Linked DNA regions of Drosophila melanogaster. The protein of the gene in region 1 interacts with the protein of each later gene in a pairwise test. Each region holds a gene or a part of one and is shown on either strand. Other genes may lie near its edges.

Region 1 (3,335 bases):
TCACCTGGTCAACCGATTTCAACGACAATTCATTCAAATGTCGACCATTCTGATGGCCCTCGGTTCCTGGTCTTTTGTCCGGGATCCTATATGCCGGATCTCCTATTCGCTTTGGCTGGCCAAAAGACCATTAAAGCTATTTTTTCTGCCCATTCAGCATTCAATAGAAATTTACATCACGTCGAAAATTTTTACATACGCATGTGTGTATATGTCCTTTGCTAAAAGGACATTTTGTGATGGCCAGAACGATGGGACTGGGTGGGGTATGTGGTTATGTGGTGGCGAAAGTCGCGTTGAGCATACTAACACTTTTTTGTATGTTTGCTTAGCTTAGGTTTTTACCTGGCAAAAACGCAGCAGGGGTTGGGCATCGGATTGTGGCAGCCTCGAAGTAACAATAATAAAAGCCGGGCGGAGGGAAACAAAATTGATGTTCCCTGCTGCAGTAGCTACATACATATATGGCAGGAAACTATATTGCCACATAGGCAATTTCATTGTGCGATATACATATATTCTGGCAGATATGTTAGGGACCCTGAGCAAATTGGTTTACCCGGCTTACCCTTTTCACACAACTTTAGTTGAACTCCCACTACACAACTGAAAATAAAAAGGTAGTTTAAGAAGCTAGTTTGCTTATAATATATGGGATATGTAAAGCATTGATAAAAAGTCAATTACAAAGGTTTTGTAAATGTAATTGTTGTAATTCGTAGCACACTTTTACGCATACAAAATTTCCAACAACTTGCCCCTTTTAGTTAAATATTTAATTAAATGTTGTAATGCAGTTTAACATATACATTTTCACTCAAACTTTGTACCACCATTTTGTTGCCTTCCAGGTAGAAGAGGTAAAAGGGGGAGTGGACCTTGAGAGAGTTGCACAATTTGCTAATTACCGCAATCAAAGTTTTCTTGTTGGGCAGCCAAAAACAGCTTCAAAAGCACAAAACTGATAAATTATAAATTAAAGGGAATCTCAGGAAAGTTGGCTCTTTCCCTATCTTTAGTTTACACAGCGAACTGTTGTGAGTATTCCCTCGTTTTTTTTTTTTTTTTATGCTTGGATTCGAGTGCATAATTTACGAGTTGAGCTCGCTGCCAATATTTCAATTACTCTACGGCATTTCGAGCAGTCTTCCTTCTTGCCTCCCTATCCCAGAAGCAATTTCAATTGAGCTTAGTGCTTGCGGAGTACTCTTTTCGGTAGGCGGTTTTGTCTCAGGGCGAAATTAGTGGCCAAAACTGCGGCAGATTACAGGCCAGGCCAAGAGCGAACTTCAAACAATTATTTGGCCAGCTGGGCTGGGAAGCTGGCTTTTAATTTGCTTAGCCCCTGCCCATGAATAATGCAATACGAGAAAGAAACGAGACCAAGAAGAATTTTTGTATAATTGCAGGGCGCACAAAATTTCGCTTAGAATCTCCTCGGGCCACATAATTGCTGAGTGGAAAGGGGCGGCAGAAAGTTAAATGTAAATTAAATATTTCCCTCGTCTTTTCTTTAGCAAAACGCAAGTTTTATCCGGCTCTTAAGTCAAATATTCACCTGCTACAGGAAGGCCAGTGAATTAACATGAAAATGAATGGACTTCAGGTGAAATCTTTATTACAAACAATTTGCGGTGTCCTGCGAATACAATGGTAACTAAAATAATTATTTTGAGAAGCTCTTTTATAATTTCCCGAAATATTACGTTAAATGTAAATTTTTGTTGTTTTTTATGCAAACAATTTAAGTATATACACCAGTTCGTTTTTATTTCCAGTGCCCATAATAAGCCCCGTTTCAACTGCTATTTGAAGGCACGATTGCATCGATTAATTATGGCTGTCATCGTGTAAATTGTGCTAAATTATTATTATCAATGTTGTTGGCCTGATGACAAACATTCAATTTCGCGAATGTGTCGCGCTCGACGGACACCCAGGATACAGATACACAGGACGACCCGTTGAAGCGGAGCGACCAAATTGCAATTGTGATATTGACAATAATGCAATCAAATAATCAATCAATTAATGTCTGCTTGAATTAATGCCGAATATTATGTGCTATCGTCAATGCCATCATTAGCACTAAATTCAATTACGTTGCAGGCATATCCTGTTGCCCTCCATGATGATTCATCATTGTTAGCGTACTTTTCCGATGAGGCACGGCGTACACGAATCCTAATCCCAGGAGCCTGTGGCCCACACATTACTCTCGGCCTTTAGAAAAACTTCAAAATTTGTGGCTTAAATTTGGGGAGCCGGAAAAATATTCCATGGCTGGATCACCTGGCGTTAAGGATAAGCTGAATCTGATTGTTGGCGGGGACATTTGCGAGGTATACCGGGATGGATTCAATTGCGGATCCTTTGGCTTCTGGTGCGGACTCGTCGGATTGGCCGTCTTCATAATTTTTCTCGCCTACTTTCATATAAATCGGGAGCGAATAGATCCGACGTCATAATCCCCCTAAATGTGGACAATTCTACATAAATGTGTCATAAATAAAAAGTAATTTAAAAAAAAGTACACATAAATCTTTTGATTTTGTTAAAAAAAACCCTTTTATTCCATTAAAGATTAAAGTTGGATCCAAAAAAAAAGTTGTGTAATGCATTCATTAGCGTGTTATATATTCTTTATGAGCTCTCCTTCACATACAAAGCTCTTTGAGTTGTCTCTCAAATGAAATCCCGTAATTCCGTCAATCCAAATTGATATTTTTATTCATCAAGCTCGATTTTCATGAAATTCATCCTTAAATCGTTGTTAAAAATGCATGTGCATATTTTTCTGCCGGCTCTTATTACCATGCACCTACATATTTATCACTGCTTGATGGACCCAAAACGGATGCTATGTAAATTTTTACTCGGTCGATACATTTGACAGAGCTCATATACACTCTCGTATATAAAATGCCTCAACTTCGTTTGATTTATGCATCATTCACGCGCAATTTATCGTAAAAATTACAAAAAAAGTTCAGCGCATAAAAAAGAAAATGGAAATTCACGTTTTTCGAATCTACAGACAAAGTGCACTGGCGTTAAAAGTCACGGGGGTCATTTATTGGGTAGTTTATAATGCAGTACAACATAACTGATTTCCAATGTTGTTTACTCAACTTACAAACATTTTGATTTACGTGTGTGCGGCACAGATATGTATTGATATATTGATATATATATATATATATATATATGTTCACGTATATCAATAACATCACCAGCAACAACATTCAACAACCAACAATAATAAAGAGGCTGACGGGCAGGCAGGCGTAAACCGAATCGTGTTTATATATTTACTTAACTTTTATGGTCCTCCC
Region 2 (4,025 bases), on another chromosome or scaffold:
AAAATAAAGTATATAAAGTAAATAAAGTGCCGTGCCCTAGCGACCTTTTACATTTTAGGCATTTGCATGGAAATGGCCATCATTTTGTGACAGGAGCCAAAGAAACTCAATGCAGTTTTAAGTAATTTTATGTGTATTTGTTTTAATTTACATTCAAAATGAACGATAAGATTTTCTGGCCAATTTTCTGCCTTGTCCTCTGCATCTTGATGCATTGACAACTTGTCAAACATTCTAATATCCTGTACAGCTTGTGATGTGAGCATTATGGGGGAATTTGGTTTAATTAAACTGCATTCATACATGTGCAAATACATCGATTTTGCTGTTTGCATATTAATTCCAGTAATTCTAAATGAAGACGGCAGAAATTACGAGGATTTCTCAAGTAATCTCAAATGGGTGATGAACAAATGTCTATTACAAATGGGAATAGTTGGACTGTTAAACAGGATTAATATATTGGAAATATTTGTTTTACGACAAACTGAAAGGTTTTCATTTTATATTCATCATATTTTGTTGAATCTACTATTTTCTTTTAAAGTTTTTTATATATAACATATACTACTGTTATTAAGTGGACCCTTTAGCAATTGCGAGCGATCAAAAGCTTTTGAACGATTGATTTAAATTATTCCGATTTTAGTATTCTTTTCTCTACCCTCCCCAAAAGTCATTTATTTTCTGAATCTTGAGGGTGGAAAGTTAAACCACTCGATGTCATTTTGACGCCAGTGACTTTTTCCCGTATTTGCCCAAAATATTAGCGTAATGCCTTTGACAAATCAATTGGCAAGCGATTGACTTGGCAGACAGAAGGCTGAGTGTCATTAACCACACCCTCAATGGGCGTTGGTCACACCTCGTGCCAAAATTATTTGCCCAGGATGCTCCAAGAATTGGAATAAAAGACCTTGTTGACGGTGCGGATCAAACGCGAACGAAGCTGTGACAAAGAGATCTTGAAAAGCGTTCTGTTTGACTTAACAATCGTTCAAGTAAGGGATCAAGTAGAAAATATACGACCAGTAATTCTTAATTTTCAAAAACATAAATTGCCTATGGTTAGAGAAATAGGTACAAAAGCAGAAGCTAAAATGAATTTATTATCACCGATTACAGAAATAGAATATGAAGTTAAATATCTTGCGATAGAAAGGATAGCTCAAACTCAATCAAATTATGTATCTGCGAAAACCCATTTACAACCCCAAGCAAAGACAAAGCAATTTATGAATAATTTGCATAATTCATGTAAAAGGATATTTTTAAACAGATGACACGAATTGGCAACAGGTGCTTTTGGCGGTTAAATGTTGGGATCTTTCTTGTATCGGTGGTACTTGACATGCATCTCGTATTATATAGCATATAGATGTATATAAATATATATATTTATATACGAGCTCCTCAACTGGCAGCTACTCAGTTAGTGGTGGTAATTTCAATAATTTCCACATTATAATTTAATAATGTGTGGATGTGAAACAAGCTGCATGCTTAATTTAAACTTTTCAGCTTTAATAGTTCACAGACTCTCGACGTTTATACGGACGGACAGACTGACACAGCCATAAGTATATATTGTACATACATATAGACTAGCCCATCAATCCTGATCAAGAATATAAAGAATCCATCTGAAAGGTAAACCTTTCAACAAATCTAGTACTCTACGCGTGATGGGTATAGAAAACAAATATAATCTAGTATTCGAATAGTTTACTGTCGTTGCAATCGTATCCAAGTTTTTGTAATTTGTATATCTTCTCAGTACTAAAGGTCTTAAAAACTCAAAAAAAAAAAAAATATGGCCACAAGCGCGAACTCTGTTCAAGTTTCTGGAGCCGGTGCGGAGGTAAACGAAGCTAAACTCATCTGCATCTGGGAGGGAATAACTGAGCTGATCCTGTGGCGCAACTGGATAAAGTCGATGCTTGTATTCGTAATGCTACAGACCATAATTTATGATCTGCTTTCTGAACCGCTTGTGTTCGTGGTGAGCGTATGGGCTTTGATTATCATGGTCATATCAATGGGGTACCGTTTTTTGGTACAGTACACTAATACCCATATCCAGAACAACAGCTATCCGAAATATCTTGACATAGACCTAAGAATCTCCCAGGAGTTATCTAAGCAACTGGGTGTTCTAGTTTCAACCAAAGTTGTTGCGTTTCTAAATAATCTACGAGAGATATTACTAGTAAAGAGCTTTTCGAAATCATTCAAGTGGTTTGGCCTTCTCCTAATAATTAGCAAACTTGGAAAGCAGATTAACTTTCTAATTGTTGGCCAATTAGGTAAGTCTATCATTAATAAATAATGAAAGAAAATAACAAAATTCATTCAAATATCAGGGCTGTTTCTACTCTTCACAATTCCCAAAATGTGTGAGATGAATAGACGTTCATCAAATATTGTACAACTTCCTAAATTTAATAAACAATATCAAATTACCAAAGTAAACGCTTCGACCGAAACCCAGAATGCATTGGACATGGAATCCTTAAAAGAGTGCAACGAGGACACCATAAAGCTAATTGAAAAGCAACCAGAAGGGATGGATCTCTCACTCGGCTGTGATATTACCAAGGAATCCCAGAATGCGGCTGATGATCTTAAAGCCTTTAAAGTAAAGGAGGAAATAGACATTGATGCTTTTGAGCGACTTGCCGATTCCTGGTCCGACGAAGATACACTTACTGATCAAAAAAATTAATTCAAGACAATTCAAATAATTTATTTTTATATATTGTGAAGCGTTTGGATAAATAAAACTCCTAGGGGCACTGTGCGGAACAACAGCTACACGACTTGCTTATTCTAATAGGGAGATACTTTAACCTAATTCGAACTACTGCTTTCGTCGCCATCGTTCACAAATTCAAAGGCCCTTCTGGACCGGAAAGCGTGATAGGGTCCTTGCTTCGGCTGTCCTGCTTGAAATTCACTCCTAATCCTTGAGACCACTGCACCACTCTGCGGTGAATAGTTTGCCTTGAAGATCTTTAGGAATGACGGAATGGGAGGCACAATGCCATCCGTATGAAACTGAACAATCCCCTGGATGTGTTGAGGTCGCAAGAGGCTGCATAGCTGCCGAAGATGCATCCTGGTCGGAGTCGGTGTCCACTTTAGTTCCTTTAGATCCAAGGAAACTACCTTTTGATAGTGATTAAAGTCCGTCGGGCAACCGCTGACGAAAACCCTTGGTACATAATTTTCCTCCAGAAAACGCTCCAGATCGATGCTAAGGCACTCATAGCTTTTTGCAATGTGGTCGCCCAAATGAATATGCCCGCGAAGACTTGTGTGTGCCAATCTCCATAACATTTCCTCGTAGCCAAATTTTGGCACTTTCAGGTGCACCATACTCTGGTCATTTCTTGCTCCGAGATCCTCGATGAAATGTGCCATCTCATCAAAATCAATATGATCAAACGGCAAATTTACAGAGGACAGATTCAGATACAGCTGCTCGGTTCCCTGGGCGATCCAAGAGTTGAAGACAGAGTTGCCCAGTAGACGACCAAGATTATCCAGCCTCATAGCCGAGTAGCAGTACAGCAATCTGTTACCCTGCTGCCGCCGGATAAGCAGAATGAGGCTGTGTCCCAGATGACTTCCAGAGCATAGCATCCCTTCCAACCGTTTTCCGTCTTTCAGAAGCAGTGCGAAGGGCTGGCCCTCCTCCACCACAAGGAAGTCCTGTTCCGAAACGTTCGCTTTGCGGGATTGCAGATACTGAAACAGCTGGGTGGCCAGTGGCCGAGTGGTGTACATCCGACAGAATCGGCGTGGCAATAGTTTCAGCTGCTCATCCACATCGCACAAGCTGGTTAGAAACACCTTGGAATGGGCATCGTAGAGCTTGGGAATCACGTCGAAGTGCAGATCAGGGTGATCCTTGGGTCGCATTTTGCTGAAGGCAATTCAAAAATACACTGCAAGTAAAGTATTTTACTAAATTAGAAACAATACTTAATGAAACTGATAAAAAAATTAATTAATATTTTTCC

Evidence for each region. The genes of interacting proteins can lie anywhere in the genome.
Region 2: the proteins of CG34170 (region 1) and CG42853 interact in a two-hybrid assay, tested with the Drosophila melanogaster proteins (one large-scale study listed by BioGRID).

What each region holds. Positions count from the first base shown.
Region 1 is NT_033779.5:17,310,704-17,314,038, reverse strand, and holds CG34170 (uncharacterized protein), read left to right. Parts: upstream 1-2,218; 5' UTR 2,219-2,279; coding exon 2,280-2,468; 3' UTR 2,469-2,571; downstream 2,572-3,335.
Region 2 is NT_037436.4:18,119,716-18,123,740, reverse strand, and holds CG42853 (uncharacterized protein), read left to right. Parts: upstream 1-1,751; 5' UTR 1,752-1,813; coding exon 1,814-2,306; intron 2,307-2,363; coding exon 2,364-2,725; 3' UTR 2,726-2,809; downstream 2,810-4,025. Other genes in the region: CG7341 (uncharacterized protein), read right to left, coding at 2,851-3,924.